Linked DNA regions of Cricetulus griseus. Each later gene encodes a partner of the first gene's protein in a complex. Links are inferred from orthologs where the notes say so. Each region holds a gene or a part of one and is shown in the gene's direction. Other genes may lie near its edges.

What was found.
Region 2: the proteins of S100a10 (region 1) and Hltf are in contact, whole or in part, in a crystal structure (PDB 4HRE), measured with the Homo sapiens proteins. The link is inferred for Cricetulus griseus from reciprocal best matches to the Homo sapiens genes S100A10 and HLTF. Residues at the interface, in NP_002957.1 of Homo sapiens: Phe42, Asp58, Leu59, Asp60, Gln61, Gln70, Ser74, Leu75, Ala77, Gly78, Leu79, Ile81, Ala82, Tyr86; in NP_001305864.1 of Homo sapiens: Thr32, Phe33, Phe34, Pro35, Phe37, Phe39.
Region 3: the proteins of S100a10 (region 1) and Anxa2 are in contact, whole or in part, in a crystal structure (PDB 4FTG), measured with the Homo sapiens proteins. The link is inferred for Cricetulus griseus from reciprocal best matches to the Homo sapiens genes S100A10 and ANXA2. Residues at the interface, in NP_002957.1 of Homo sapiens: Phe39, Gly41, Phe42, Asn45, Gln46, Ala51, Lys54, Ile55, Leu79, Ala82, Cys83, Tyr86, Phe87, Met91; in NP_001002857.1 of Homo sapiens: Val4, Glu6, Ile7, Leu8, Lys10, Leu11, Ser12, Leu13.

The regions. Positions count from the first base shown.
Region 1 is NW_023276806.1:62,479,892-62,485,199, reverse strand, and holds the start of S100a10 (protein S100-A10), read left to right. Parts: upstream 1-1,714; 5' UTR 1,715-1,812; coding exon 1,813-1,815; intron 1,816-3,249; exon of another isoform or gene 3,250-3,372; intron 3,373-3,470; coding exon 3,471-3,623; intron 3,624-5,308. UniProt on the Homo sapiens protein: Because S100A10 induces the dimerization of ANXA2/p36, it may function as a regulator of protein phosphorylation in that the ANXA2 monomer is the preferred target (in vitro) of tyrosine-specific kinase.
Region 2 is NW_023276806.1:127,935,427-127,940,821, reverse strand, and holds the start of Hltf (helicase-like transcription factor), read left to right. Parts: upstream 1-1,955; 5' UTR 1,956-2,135; coding exon 2,136-2,155; intron 2,156-3,522; coding exon 3,523-3,730; intron 3,731-5,395. UniProt on the Homo sapiens protein: Has both helicase and E3 ubiquitin ligase activities. Possesses intrinsic ATP-dependent nucleosome-remodeling activity; This activity may be required for transcriptional activation or repression of specific target promoters.
Region 3 is NC_048597.1:181,007,765-181,013,287, forward strand, and holds the start of Anxa2 (annexin A2), read left to right. Parts: upstream 1-2,385; 5' UTR 2,386-2,493; intron 2,494-5,523. UniProt on the Homo sapiens protein: Calcium-regulated membrane-binding protein whose affinity for calcium is greatly enhanced by anionic phospholipids. It binds two calcium ions with high affinity. May be involved in heat-stress response.

The DNA.
Region 1 (5,308 bases):
CTGGTTGGCTTCAAGAACAGTACGATATGGACAAAATACAGATGAACAAAGTAAATCAGACCTCCAGCTTCTGAGATTTATAGCCTTGACCTGGGCATAGGTCCAGGACAGACATTTGGAATTGCTCAGGAAGAGGGACTCCTTCCTGCCTTCTGCCCCTCCCAGAAAGACCAATGGACAGAATGAGAATATTGTTGGTACTAAACCTCATAAGTGAGGTGTATAAGGTGTAAGAGAAACAAAACCAGAATTGCTTTCTGCAGAGAGGGACAGTTGAGACCCATTGCTCAAGTTAACATGTGAAGGGCATAAACACATCAGAATAAAATAGTTCAAGGAGAGGTGAGTGGGCCCAGAGGTCTGTCCTGGGAGCCAGTGAGGCAGTGGAAGGAGAGAGGAATGAAAACAAGAGAAAGAGCAGGAGTGAGAAGCATGGCCGTCAGACCAGACTTGCTTAGCAGGACACACATTTTTTTCCTTTGTGTTTGGAATGTGCTCTCTGTACCCTGCCATGCCATTCATAGGTGAACCCTGTTGAGGCCCCTTTCCCTGCCCTTCCCAGAACTCATCTCCTCTAACTGCTGAACTCTGAGCTGCAAAGCCATCAGCTGTCTAAGGATAGTCTTATCTGTATCTCAGCTACTTTGAGCCATCCATTTAGCAAATGGTATTTAGTCATCTCTCAACTGAAGCAGAGTCATATGTGGTTCTGGACTAAGGCAGCTGTAGGGCCAAGGCAGATTGGGTCTCGAACTGTATCTGATTGTGTATACCAGGTATGGAATGGGGTGTCAGCAACACTGAACAGAGCCCCCTACTTCTCAGACCAAGTCCCAAGGCCCTTGTGACAAAGTATTACCCAACTAGAAGGGGAAGACCCAACCCATCTGGAGTGGAGTTTGTGGGGTGTTAGGTGGAGTGCAGGTGCCAGATTCAGGTTCCTGAAAAGCTTGCACTCTAGTAAATGATTATGGAACTGTCTGTAGTGAGCGTTGTAATAACAGCCCCACCCAAACAGTGGAGGCTAGGCTGGGACCACTTCACCGGAGAAGTACTGAGTGGTTCAGTCATCCAACAGAGCCTCATTATCACGTTTTCCTTTGTCTTCCTTTTTTGATTTGTTATTTTGATTCTTGAGACAGAGTCTATACAGCCTAGACTGGCCTAGAAGGCTATTTTTTCCTGCCTCAGCCCCATTGCACCTCTGAGTGCTAGGTTCATAGTTCTTGGGACTTCCCCTACCTTACCTGGATCCTTGGCCTTACTTTAAAACTTTCTCCAGCACAATTCCTTGTTCTGGAACCAAGGGCATCCCCTGTGAAATTCAACTATTTTCCTTTTCTGGCCAGCCCCTATCTCTTGTGTTCTTATTGAAGTTCTCTTGAACAAGCAGAGAGCCAGTTAGCTGCTCTATTCACCTGTGTGGAACAAAACAGCTAGGGCAGGCAAGCAGGAAGGACAAAAGGGCAGACACGGGCTTCAGGAAGGGACTCTGCCACTTCATAACCAGCTGGGTAAGGAAGGAAGGAGTGGATTGACCTCAGACCTGAGAACCAGTTCTTGGCTAAGGCAACCTGACCTCACCCTCCTGAAGAGGACATTCAAGCGAGGCCAGGACTTCCTTGGCTATCAACTTGCATTTCCAGAGAGTACTAAGATGACTGTTTTTCTATTTGGGGGATCCCTATCCTGGCCATTCCTCTTCCTTCTCTAGCTCTGCAATACACTTTCCTGATGTCTGTGAGGAAAGTACAATGGGTGTCCACGCAGTTCTAACATCTGGGATGTCATCTGGAATCTTCGCCTTCAGACATGGTAGGAGAGCTCTCTGGCTCTGAATGAGGACATAGACATTTTAAACTTCACTGGTGTCTGGCTCCTTTCCTGGATTGTTAAAGGGCTGAGGTGGCACCCCACATCCTTCTTTAGGTGGCTTACTCAGTTCAGTTCAATTCCTGCACTTTCAAATCAATCCAAGCAAGGCAGACTTCCACTAAGCTCTCTGCCACCGCCAAAAACCCATATCTAGGAGTGGGGAGGTGGGGCGGATCTGAGCAGTACAGGACGAGAGGGAAAAAGGAGTGGCTCTTCTGAATTTCATGGCATTAGACACCTTGAATTGTAAACTTGTTGCTATCCAAGTCATGCAGATGAATCATGCCGGATCCTGATTGACAGTGTTCTCAGAAGTGGCATTTTCTGTAGCTGGTTCTTCTACCTTCTTGGAGACGAAGAGGAACAAGTTACAACCTTTAAATCTAACTTTTCAGTGCTAGCCTTCAGCACTACACCTTTGACTCTGTAAAAGATAATACTTAGAAGCCAGGCCTAGTGGTTCAGACCTGCAATACCAGCTACTCACGAGGCAGAAACAGGAGGATCTTGAGTTAAAGCCATCCTAGGCAACTTAGTGAGACTGTCTCAAAATAGAAAGTGAAAAGAGAGCTGGGGGATGTAGTTCAGTGATAGGAGATGGGCACAGGTGAGTGAGGTTCTAGGTTTCAGTGTGTGTCGGGGTGGGTTTCAGAACTTGGGGATCTGTACTGAACAAGCATCTGTCAGCATCAGGAATCAGACCAAAGCACACCCCGAATTCCCATCATTGCTCTTCAGTGGGGGAAGGAGCCAATCTCTCCCTCCTTCTGTACTCAAAACTATATGTGGACACTGAGCTCCATTAGGCATGGGGTCTTGATGAAACATTTGTCCCAGTTCATTATACCAGCATGCGGTGACCTAAAATTCCTTTCCTCTCTTTAAACTCCTCATCAGGAAAGACCCTTACTCTCTCACTGTACCCCCAATTTATGAGGAAAACGCTCTGTATAGTCCTACCAGAAACATATTCAGCACCCAAAGGAGCTTGTGTACCCTCTTACCTATTCCTTCCCTGCTGAACTTGAAAATGAATGTATGAAGCTTACTCAGGCAGAGCAGCTGCACTGACTGCCAGAGAACAAGTTCAGATCGTTAGGAGAGTATACATTTCCAGCAGACATGTCCATCTGTAAGTACATTTCTAATCTCTGAAATTGTATTGGTTCAGGCTCCTGTGGCATGGGTGGCGGGATGAAGTTTCTGTATTAACCAGGCTGGACTCGTGGCTTGTTGGGGTTCAGCCATTTCTAAGAGTCACATTTTCAGTGCCAGGGGAAATATGGAAACATCATCTTTCATCCAGTGCTTTCCAGTAAAGGAGCAGCTCTTGTCTTGCTTTTCTAGAAAGTTAGGCCTTCTTATCTTGATTAGGAACCGAGAAAAGAAGCTGACAGTCAGGCAAATCCCACATTCTGAGGTCCAGCACCTGAAGTGTCTTGCCACCAGCAAAAGACCCCAAATAGGACCTGAGATTGATTGAATTTTATTGGAAAGGTGATTAGACCTATTTTATCCTTTCCGACCACCCTCTACAGACTTCCAGCATGTGGTTTAAAGGTTAAGGCAAACTCTTTCTTTGTGTCCATTAACAGGTTTCAACAGACCTCTTCAAGATGCCGTCTCAGATGGAGCATGCCATGGAAACCATGATGCTTACATTTCACAGATTTGCGGGCGATAAAGACTACTTAACAAAGGAGGACCTCAGAGTGCTCATGGAAAGGGAGTTCCCTGGGTTTTTGGAAGTAAGTGTGGAAAGTCTCAGACCAGACATAAAAATCCAAGGTCCCTTCCCTTGTCCTTCCATTGTCTCCATCCCTGTAGGCTCACCACTTGGAAGTGTTTCATTCATTTACTTAGTAGACAGTGCTAGGATAGCACAGGGGCAGCAAAGTGGAAAAGGCCCCACCCCTGTGCTCTGATTGCAGATGAAAATATCCACACCCACTGGAACAACAAGAGGGAAAAGACTTTTCACAAGGGTGTCATGGATCAAGGTGCCACACCTCAGGTCCCTAACACTAATGACAGTGGTTTCACATTCTTGTCATATGCCACTTGAACAACTTGAATCTCCTTTGTGTGTGGGTGTGAGCTTTGTGTTGACCCTGGAGCCCCATTCATGCAAAGCCAGGGCTCTACTGGGAAACTTCCCTCTACTCAATCTACTCAAATCTTCTTAAAATCCCTATTTATAGAAAGACTTTTCTTCTTTTTCCAGCTCTAACCCATAAAGAGATCTTTTTTGTTTGTTTGTTTGTTTTGTTTTTTGAGACAGGGTTTCTCTGTGGCTTTGGAGGCTGTCCTGGAACTAGCTCTTGTAGACCAGGCTGGTCTCGAACTCACAGAGATCTTCCTGTGTCTGCCTCCCGAGTGCTGGGATTAAAGGTGTGTGCTACCAATGCTCACATAAAGAGATCTTGTTAATTGTTGGCTGAATCAGGGCAAAATGTCACTCCAGATAATTGATTTTTACAATGAAAATGTCAACTTAGGAGCCTAGAAGTATAGTCTAGGTTTTACCTCCCTTTGATCACACTGAACAACCCCTGAAGACTAGGACTCCTCAGATATGCCACTCAAGACAATAGTCAGCTAGGCATGGTTGTCTTTTGACTTTGTGGGTCCTCAAGAGACAGTTGTTGAATTTAATGCTCACCCAAGACAAAGCATAGCTTGATATAATAGCAGACTGTGGTATGATCCCTTCTTTTCCTGGAAAGAAAGGATGGTTCTTGTACTGGGTGTTCAATAATGCATTAGTTTCTGAAAGGTAAAGGTAAAAGGCTGGATCTAGCCTCTTGACATTTACCTGATAAATATCACGTTATCTAAGGTCCTGGCCCTTACACTAATAAACACGGGGCTTTGGAGAAGATTGCTTTTACATATTGTCAATATCAGTTAAATAAATGGCCTGGCCCCTCCCTTCAATCACCCAAATGCTATCTCAGTGAGCTGGAGTGTACAGTTCCTCTGCTGGCATAAGGCACTGTGATGCAGTCCCAGACAAGGGCTCAGAAGATCTAGCTGTGGGCTAACAATAGGGGCTAACAACTACAGAGTCCTGGTTCCCTCCTCTCCAAATTGAGAGCACTGAACACAATTATCTGCATGCTCACTTTTAACTTGCTATGATCCTTCTAGACAAGCATAAAATGCAAGAGCAAAATGTGCTCATTGTAGGCCAGCCCGTCACATCTACAGAGGCATTCTCAACACAGACCCTTCCATGCTCAAGGTTTTGTGACATGAGAAATATAAAGGATGTTTGCAATGGGGTGTGCTAAACACAGCAGAGTAGCTTATTCCAGGCACAGACAGGGTCATAATTCTAGACACTTATTCCCTGTGTTAACGGAGCATTTTGTTTCTAAAGTAGATGGCTTATGTCATCCAAATTTCACTCATTCTGACCACAACCAGGAAG
Region 2 (5,395 bases), about 65 Mb from region 1:
ACTGCGAAGCCACTGCATAGAGATCTTATAGGGCAGTATAAGGGGAGTGTCTAGGGGTACACACAGGCTCAGGATTGGTGTGCCTCCAGACTTGCCCTGTGTTGATTGGTCAACTGGTTGTTATGGCCCATTAGGCCCTCCCAGGGTGATTGCTATGCTCTGTGCATCATTGCTGTGCACTTGTCCATAAAGCACAGCTAGAGCCGTAAAGCATAGCACCACCAGCTAACTTCTGATTGGTTCCTTGCCACAGGGCAGGCATCTGACCTCCTAGTGACCAAGGCATTTGGGGTGATCTAAATCTCTGTTCCCAGGCCATGCTTACTGATATTTGCCTTCCAAGCCTGTTAAAGTGAATTGTTTTTTGTCTGTTGTTCTTTTTTGTTGTTGTTGTTGACATTAGTATTTCCCACAATGTCATGCCAGTGGTCCACTTGAAATACTCTCATTTCACTTAAATAATGCACAGATCATCATTTTGTAAGACAACGAACACACACAAGCCACCTACCTTTCATACTATGCCAACAGAATCACAAAATGAACTACTCTTGGAAGGTTGGCTGTCAGTGTTTAAAACATTCACAAACACATCTAGCAATTCTGATGGTTTACAGCACACCATATTATGTTTGTTTGGCTCAGCACCACCACTAGCTTCCTATTTTAGGTGCAGGTGAAGCGGCAACAGTTAAAAGACTACTTCAGTAGTATTTTTGTGGTCTTTCACATGAAGGGACCAGCTTCCCTTTTGGCAGCCATAATGACCTTGTCCCAGACACTAGAAAGTCAGATGCCTGCCTCGTGACAAGGAACCAATCAGAAATTAGCTGGTGGCGCTATGCTTTACGACCCTGGGTGTGCTTTACAGACAAGCGCACAGCAATGACTTGGAGAGCATAGCAACCACCCTGGGAGGGCCTATGGGCCATAACAACCAGTTGACCAATCAACACAGGGCAAGCCCTCCAAGCCTGGAGGCACACCAATCCTGAGTCTGTGCGTACCCCTAGACACTCCCCTTCCGCTGTCCTATAAGATCTCTTGGGAGGCCCTAGGAGCGTCTTTTGCTAGCCATCCGCCATGGCGGGTGGGTGAAAGACCCGAGCTAACATGGGGTTAGCTTGTTAAATTACAATAAAGCCTCGTGCAGTTTGCAGCAAGCTCTGGAATCTGCCTGGTGATTGGGGTGACCGCGAATGTGGCCTAGGACCCCAGATACTTGAGTTTTCGGGGGTCTAACACACGGTACAGGAACCACCTCTACCTTGGCTGTTACTGATGCACACACAACCCTAAGGCCGAATTTCCCTTTATAAAGTTTTTCTTACAGTGTCTCCTTCAATTTCCCGAGAAAAAACGCAAGTGGCCACAGCTGCCACCTCACCTTACACCAGTGCTGGACCAGTCTCAGCAATAGAGTTGTAAGACTGTCCTATTTTATGGCTTTCTTCTACTAAGTGATGAAAATGTCTTTAAACACTAGAAAATAAGGTGAGAAAGGGAAATTGTGTTCTTCCTCAGATTTCTAGGACTCAGGGTCTCCACACACCGAGGTTCCTAATTACAAACATAGGGCATCTCAGAGGAAATGAGCTCCTCCTTCTAGGGGAGGCCCTTTAGGCATTATCTCAGATAGGGTGGGCGAAGGAGGCTCAGACCTCAGGGGACAGACAGCCTTATGGTTTTGGGCAGTGGCAGGAAGAAATCTTTCCTCTGCAGCGGGCAGGGAACCTTTAGCCAAGTGGCTCACTTGAAAGACCTCGAGGTTTTCCCGCGCAACCGCCCTCGGGGCGCGGAAGAACCCGGATGGAACCTCCCCAACACTCCACTGCCTTTGAATCGCTGCATGGGGCGGAGCTCCCCACCCTCTAGCACCCTGATTGGTTGGTATTTAGAGATTCTTCATTCCGATTGGACAATCTCAGTGCCGATCACAAAACGTCACTGGCCTCTCAGACTGTTGCTGAAGTAGTGGGAGTCGGCTTCTAAATAAACCCGCGTCTGGAGCGTCGCTTCTTCGCGGTTCGCATCTGGTTCCCGGTCCCTGGGCCGCGAGACCCTGAGGGACTTTTTCAGGCGGCCTGAGAAAGTCCGGGCGCCCAGGGCATCCCGAGGTCACCCCGCCCGGCGCCATGTCCTGGATGTTCAAGAGGTGAAGGGCTGAGGGGGTGGGGCGTGCGGCCCGGGGCCCCGCGCCGTCTTCAGTGAACCCGCTCCCGGCGGGCGGACGATAGATAGATAGATAGATAAGATAGGTGCGGCTTGGATGCCCTCCCCGGGTCGCTTGCACGTGTGGCTTGCGCAAAGCGTTGTCTCGGCTGACCCGAGAATCTGCTGCCAGCACCTCGGGAGGTCTCCATCACCGGTTGTGGGGGTCCAAAGCTCCACCCGAAGAGCTTTATTCATCAGAACACCTATTGGCTACCCACTGTGCTCTAGGCATTGTTGTCTCGCCATACGCTAGGAATTGTTACCGTGACAGCTCCGAGACAGCCCGACACCCAGTGTCTCACAGTAGTGAGCAGGAGCCTGTGCTTGCAGAGGAGAGCTGAAGCGGGGACTCCCAAAGGATAGCCCCGTGTGCTTTTAGGGGAAAGACAACTTGTAGAAGGCTTCCAGCAAACATCACTTGATCACCTGCAGCGGTTTTTATGCCCACTCCTGTAATAATGATCCTTAAGATTGGTTACCTTTAAAATAACAGGGTGATGGATAGATAGGTAAGGGGGCCTGCAGGTCAGCTTCCTATGATGTCATAGTTTAGATAGCTGTTCTGCAGGAGTTAAAGCTGTGAATGCTTTATGTCGAAGGCTAAAGATATTTTCATAGCCAGACGATGGGGCGCACGACCTTAATCCCACCTCTCAGAAGGCAGAGGCAAGCAGATCTCTTGAGTTCAAGGCCAGCTTGGTCTACAGAGTGAGTTTCTAGGTGAGCCAGGGCTACACAGAAACCCTGTCTCGAAAAAAACAAAAAGAAAAAAAAAAACATATACAATGGTAATTTTGTTTTTATAAATCTCTTCTTCATTAGTTGGCATTGAAGATTTTGACATTTTAATGTAAATAGATTTCCGCAGGAAAGAATTTCCAGTATTTAACAGGTCAGATTTGGTAGCTTTACCTACTCGGCTCTTGCTTTAGCCAGGGTAATTGTTAAGTGGTATTTGCCACATAACATTTCACTTGCTAAAATAAAATGTAAGGAAGTGATTGGCCTGAAAATACTGTTTGACTGTGTTCTTTGAGAAATACTTGGTTAAGTTCTGTTTTTTTTTGTTTGTTTGTTTGTTTGTTTGTTTTTGGTTTTCGAGACAGGGTTTCTCTGTGTAGCTTTGGAGCCTATCCTGGTACTCGAGCTGGAGACCAGGCTGGCCTGGAACTCACAGAGATCCGCCTGTCTCTGTCTCCCAAGTGCTGGGATTAAAGGCGTGTGCCACTAACTCCCCGAAAGTTCTATTGTTTTAATGTATGCTTTGTTTTTGTTTTTGTTTTGTGTTTTTTTTTTTTTTTTTAATAGGGATCCTGTTTGGAAGTATTTGCAGTCTGTCCAATATGGAGCCCATGGAAATTTTCCAAGACTTTCATACCCAACTTTCTTTCCACGTTTTGAGTTCCAAGACGTTATCCCTCCAGATGACTTCCTAACTAGTGATGAAGAGCTGGATCCCATTTTATTTGGAACTTTGAGAGGTCAAGTTGTTGGACTGCGCTATTACACAGGAGTAGTGAGTATAAGAGTAGATACTAAATAAAATTGTTGTATGCATATGGTTTTAACCGTAAATTATATTAAATGGTGACATATTATGTATACATATATACAATTAATGTTTTACTTTGAGTGACTGAAATATGTCACTCAAAGGCTTGTTCTAAATACCTTTACCATCTTTGATTAATTTTGTACATTTGTACCATGCTTACAGTATATAAAGCACTTTTGCCCATACTGACATTTGATTCTTGTAATTACTGAGGTTCTCTTCCTTAATGGAAGGTAGAGATGTAGATGGTTAAATGATTTGTCCCAATGAAGAAAATATATGCTGAATTTAGGAAGCAACTTCGAATCTATCAATTTTTATTAGATAAGTTATTTACTTTTGAGTTCTTTATTTTTGCAATAGAATAGCTCCTGCTCTTTCTTCGATTTATTCCTGTTCTCTAATTGATTGTGTGTGTGTGTGCTCGTGAGAAAAAGAGGACAGATTGAGAGTATATATATATGTGTGTGTATGTATTATATATATATAATTTTGTGCACTGTAATCTTCATTATGGCCATCTTTGTTATTTGGGTAATACTTCTAATATCCAGTTTATCATGAGAAAATTTCAAACATAAAATTAGAGTAAGTCAGAGGTTATCAAGTATTTTCTATATTTGTTTTATTCTTTTTTCTTTATCTTTGTAAAAACAAATACTAAATTTTATATTAGTATAGTTCAGTATATATTTCTTTAAAATTCAGTTTGTGGGCTGAAGAGATGACTCAGCAGTTAAGAACATTTGGCTGCTTTTGCAGAGGACTGGAGTTCTGTTCACTCATGGCTGGCCACTGACTACTCCCTTTACAGTTCCAGAGGTCCTGTGCCCTCTTCTGGCATACATGGGTACTCATACATACCCCCATATAGAATACATAAGTATACATGATTAAAAATAAAATACATCTTAGTTTTTATGTTTCATTTTCATAGCAATCAATAATTGGATTCTGTTGATTATTAAAACTGTATTTTTATCAGGCTCAAAACAGGGTTAATATATTATCTTTGGCTGTTATGGGCTGTAAGGTCCACTCTTGTTTCCTGTTACATATTTGTGTGTCAAAAACAAGGTCTGTTTTTCGGAATCTTGTTGATTTTGTTACTTTTCCCCTTCCCTTGTATCTTTATGATAAAGCTTGTTAAATGGTTTCTTGTTGTTCTTGGGGGAAGGGGTTTGACTCTACAGCCTAACCTGGCAAGCACTAAGTAGTCCAGGTTGACCTTGAACTCATAGTGAGCTCACAGTGGTCCACTTGTCTCAGCCCTCTGAGTACTTGATGGTTTCAGAACTTTTTTTTTTTTAAGATTTATTTATTATTTATACAGTGTTCAGCCTGCACCCCAGAAGAGAGCACCAGATCTCATTATAGGTGGTTGTGAGCCACCATGTGGTTGCTGGGAATTGAACTCAGGACCTCTGGAAGAGCAGCCAGTGCTCTTAACCTCTGAGCCATCTCTCCAGCCCCCAGAACTTTTTTTTTTTTTAATTGAAGTAAGTTATCAGGAGATACTTTGTGGGAATTCTGTGTTTCCCATTTGTCTTGTTTTTCATTCTCTGTATTTTTTATGTTGAAACATCTCGTATTGTTTAGTAGTTATATAAGATGTCCCATCTAGGA
Region 3 (5,523 bases), on another chromosome or scaffold:
ATAAAAATGAAAACATGGACGTGGCCATATACCATATGCATCTTAAGACTCCAGGGGACCAGAGAAATGGCTCAGTGGTTAAGAGCACTGGCTTGCCGGGCATTGGTGGCGCACACCTTTAATCCCAGCACTTGGGAGGCAGAGGCAGGTGGATCTCTGTGAGTTCGAGGCCAGCCTGGTCTCCAGAGTGAGTGCCAGGATAGGCTCCAAAGCTACACAGAGAAACCCTGTCTCCAAAAACAAAAACAAACAAACAAACAAACAAAAAAAACCATAAAAAAGGCACTGGCTTGTTCTCCAGAGGAGTCAGGTTTGATTCTCAGCACCCACACAGTGGATCAAAACATCTATAATTCCACTTCCAGGGGATGTGAAACCCTCTTCTTGCCTCTAATGGCACCAGACAAGCATGTGATCTGCAGATATATATACGAAGCCAAAACACCCATACACATAAAATCAAAAGTTGAAATATGTTGAAATATGTTAAGACTCCAGAAAGACATGACATGGTCCCTCAGGGATTCACTCTAAGACTTCTTCAGTGTTTAACCCACGGCAGTCTGCCATGTGCAAAGTAGAGGGAGATGCTTCAAAGAAACAAATAAGACAATCTGTGGATGGAGATTCAGAAGTCCTTCATACTAGCAGAACCAGTCTCACATTCCTCAGAAATAGCCAAGTGTGACTTCTAACTGCCTCTTTTTTTGATTGAGGACACCGAAAAGTTGAACAGGATGTCAATGAAGCCTGGCCACATACATTAAGCTTTGCCAGATGTCCAGGATAAGCCAGAAATTCTTTTGGCTGTTCGGTGACTTTTATACATTTCGCATGATGTCAGCTAAGTGTCATTTCCGGTGGAGGACCTCCCACCCTCCCACACACAAGCAGGAGTATGTGGCCTGTGGGGCTGGGTGGAGAAATAACTCAGAGGCAGACAACTGCTTTTTGATACTGTGTGCCTGAATCTTCTTCTGTTCCAAGGCGTTCACACCCAGTGATAGATAAACATGGTTTTTGTCTTTAAAGCTGTCCATAATGAAGAGCTGTGAATGTAAATCAAACATTGTATCAAAAGTGATAATGTCCTTTTTTCTACTTGTTATTCTGCTGGGGCTCACATGTAACTTCTAGTGGCAAGGCTGGGCAACCTAGAGCCTGAGCTGGATGTTGGGACCCCAGTTGGGGCTGACTTCACAGCTAACTGGCTATGTGACAGTAAGCACAGTACTGAGCATCTCTTTCCCTGGCTATCCTGCTATCCTCGGAATGAACTGAGAGAGGAGTACAAAGTATAAACAGATGTTGTAGTCAGTTGGGAGCAGGGCTGAGAAGATAGCTCAGCTGGTAAAGAGCTTGTGGCCAAAGCAAAGGAACCTGAGTTCCATCCTCAATTCAGGCAGGTAAAATGGTTACTAACCAGCCAGTCTAAACCTAATTTGTGAGCTCCAGGCACCTTGTCTCAAATAACTCCTGAGGAACAGCGTCCCTGAGGCTGACATCTGGTTGGCTTCCACATGTGAACTACAGGCTCACACAAATAGATGGGAGAGATGATAAAGAACCATTAGGACCAGGAGAAAAGAGAGAGAGGTGAAATGTGCAGCTTAAAGACCCAGTGTGAAAGGTGTTCTGGATTCTTCTGTTAGCCTGAGGTTTGATGCAGTATGGGCAGTCACACACAGACATAGTTCACTCCTGCATTGTCCGTGTGACTGCCCCTGAAAATCAGGCTAGGAAAAAATGAAAAAATAAAATAAAACCCAGAGAAGCAATTGGTCAAGGGAATGAGAAAAACAAAACCCTAATAATCTACAATTAGGAAAGACGGTAGGAGGTCTTGTAGAGTGCTCTGAAGTGCTGCTGTCTGGGGGAAGGAGGCACCTGGGTGGGGGGGGGGTGCCTTACCTCTGAGTCTCCCTGACTGCTTGGAGGCCTTCATGCAGTTTCCTAGGCCCATTAGGCTCTCTAGGTCGTTTCAAATAAACCGCCCACCCCATGCTCCTCCATCTGGTGACCAGAGGTTAAACTAATATGTTTGCAGACGGTCATGGAGAGCTGGGTGCCAACAGCCTAACTCAGGGGAATCCAAGTATGTGTGTCTTGAAACAATTCTACCCTCCATTACCTCGACATCTAGAAGCCTATAAACAAAAGAAGAAGTGGATTGGGCAAGCCAGTCTGCTGAAATCTTAACAGCCGAGGGCCAGGCTGACCACTGGGCCCAATACCCTAGGAGTAAGGGGGGTAGGGAGGTGGAGGCTTGATGGGCCTGGGAAGGTGGTGAGGCTGTCACGTAGGGCAGGGCCGGGACTGGGCGGCGTTCCAGAGAGGGTGAGTCACCCGGAGCAGGGTGGGCACAGGCCGGGGAGGGGAGGGGAGGCGTGGCGGCTTTACGCAGGGAGGATGGGGCGGGTATAAAAGCCCCACCCAGCCCAGCCGGGCCGCTCGGCTTCTGGGGAGGCTTTCAGCGCTAGGCGCCCGGCCCAGGTAAGTGGGGCGCGGCCCGGTCATCCGCTATGGCCTCGGGGTTTCGGTGTTGAACCGGGAGCGGGCAGGCTCCGACGACGGGGACCCTGGGAGGCACCAAGAAGGATCCATCCCCTTGGGCGATCTACGCGTCCTGCCACAGAGTTGCAAAGTGTCCCGTGTGGGGTCGTGACACGTCTCTTTGCATACCACGCCTGGGGGGGGTGCAGGGCAGAGGTGGAGGAGACTGTGCTTCCCCTTGAGGTCCCCTGAGAAGCAGGGAGACCCTGTGTGGGGCGGGGAACCGAGGGGCTCGGCATTCCAGAGGTGCTAGGTGCCAACGGGGGACTGGGTGTGGCCGCTGGGGAGCCTGCAGCCCAACAGTGAGACATCTGTGGACTTTTCCCCTCCGCCTTCCGAACTGCGTCGTCCTCTCACTCTGAACCATAACTCCTGCAATTTCAGGTGTATTTCTTTGCTACTGACAAACGTAAATTTGTGAAGTCGGCGCGGGGAACCGGGCGAGGGCGGGGGCGGCGGCACCAGAACTTCAAGTCTTGAGTTCTTGGTGCCCTCCTTTACACAAAACAATCTCAGCTCAGTCTTTGTCGCGAACTCTAGATTGTTTGGTAGGACAGCGACCTCAGACCCTATTCTTTCTGAGGAGTTTGCCGCCCTGGAACGTGTGCAGAAAGAAGTATCCCCGGGTGGTTCAGTAGAGAAAGTTGCCTTGACTGCACTGAAGCCACCATGAGTCAATTGACAGAGTCTATAGAAAAGGGCGTGGCTCCTGAGCCCCAGGTTCCAATGCTGGCATGGAGGGCTGTGGCTCCAGAAGTTTCTTTATCTATAAAAGTGGTTTCCGAACCCTTGTTCTTAGCTCCACCCACACTGAGTTATTGAAGATTTCCGAAAACAAGTTCATTCAAAAATAGATAAGTAAAGCACACTGAAAACACAGCGTTGTACAAATATAAAAGAAAACAAAAAGCTGTTACTTGAGACATAGCGGTAATCTCAAAACTCGGAAGACCGAGGCAGCAAGATCCTGAGTTTGAATCCAGCCTGAGCTACAAAGTGAGACACCATCCTCCCCCTGACCCCCGTCTCAAAAAACAAACAAACAAAACGGAGAGCTGATCTAGCTCATTGGTAGAGTACCCCACTAAGACACACAAGATCCAGGCTTTTATTCCCAGAACCAGAATAACCAGAAAGTTATTCATTTGTGTAGTAATTTGCCATATTCAGTCCCAGCCCTTAACAACAACCATAAACTCTTGGAATCCAAGGTCCTCAGCCTTTAACATACAGGGGTATTATCAGATGAGTCTGCAACTTGGACTGGGAAGCCACTTCCCGGCTCTCCCCCAGGAACACTATAGAAGGAGTTTGGAAACCCATGCTAGCACACTCCCCCACCCCAATTAATTAATTTGCACTGTATCTGAGTGCTGCCTAATGGCAAGGAGCAGGATACAAGATGGGAGGGCGAGGGGTGGTCCATGGGTAGGAATAATAAATCACTGATGCGGTTTTCAGGGTTTTCTCCGTTTAGTTTTAAATATAGATTTGATTAAATCGTGTTAATTGAAAACTTGTGTCTTTGCCCCCTTCTCTGGTTTCTTTTTCCTGCTTCCCTGCCACCTTCTTGCGGTCTGTGTCCCTTGATGTGTTACGTTGGCTTTGGACACTTGAGCGGCCCCTCCTCCACACCCACTTCCTCTTCATTTCAGTGTGTGCTGCGCCCAGCCAAAGCCTGTGGGTCTGAGTCAGGGAACCTGAAGATGGCAGATGAGATCAGGGCAGAGCCCCGTCCTCTTCCACTGAGTCCACTGCTCACCTTAGATCCCGGGGTTTCTTTAGAAGAGCCCGTCGCCTCTGCTGCAGCAGGGGCAACCTCCTAGGTGCGCACCTTTCTGTTGAGGGTTTCCTGTTTGGTGTGGTAGAGAGAGAAGTTCAGGAAGTTTTGCTAACTAGCCAGGCAGCACTTAAGGCTTTGACTGAGAGCTTGGGTTTGGACTGGTGCCTCTCAATGTTTCACATCCTGTGTCTTTGAGTTATTAAAATACCCTATTGATTGGCATTACACATGCAGTCTTGGCCACTGGCTTCCTGACTAAGTTCCGATTTAAGTAGTTTTCCTGGCAAGACAGGCACTCTCCTAAATTGCTATTGATTTTTGAGAACTCTCATCTCTCTCTGCACCTTTGGGCCTGCATTAATGTGTGTGAGGGTTGATGGGAACTTTGGCTCTAATTCTTGGCTTGTGCTGGGTGCCAGACCTGTTTCATCTGGGGAGAGTGGGTGTGTTACAAAAGGAGTCCCAGGCACTGTGGGCTGCTTTCAGCATCCATTTGTCTTACAAACTGTCTTTTACGTACCCACTGTGTCCCAATCACAGTTATGGTACTGAGGATACAGTAGTAGACTAGACACACATGCATGCATATTCGTTCACTGTGTGCTTGTACATACAAACACAGCCCTTGCCTTTCAGATTTTGAATCTTTTAGGGAAAGAAAAAAAAAGAAAAGATACGTGTGTTAATTGTAGAGATAGCAATTTGATTTGACATTTTGTATTTTCCTAAACTAATATTTACTCACAAAACCAGCTGGGTCTCCATTCCCAGCTTCTATACAGTTGTTTCACAGACCTAGACATGGAGCTGAGCTTATCCCAAAGAGGTGTCTAAATAAACTGGATTTAACCTGTTCTTCACAATCAACTGGGAGACTTGAGTAGAAGTTGGCTGTTCTCTTTTTCTGCACCTACAAATAACCACCCCCCCCAAGCCACACCCTTCTCTAGCTGTGGGCCTGCCATCCAGAGAGGAAATTCCAGTCCTTAACAGAAATTCTTTCCACCCATTCACAGTCTGGCATGTTTTTTCTTTTGTTACCAGAGGCAGTCCCCATCCGTGTTGTTGCGGGGACTTATGATTCTGGGTGGTTCCATTGATATGATTTCCAGATGTTCCCATTAGGGAGCACATTGACCCTCTTAAATCATCTGAGCGCAGGTCTTTGTAGGGTACTCATCTGCAGC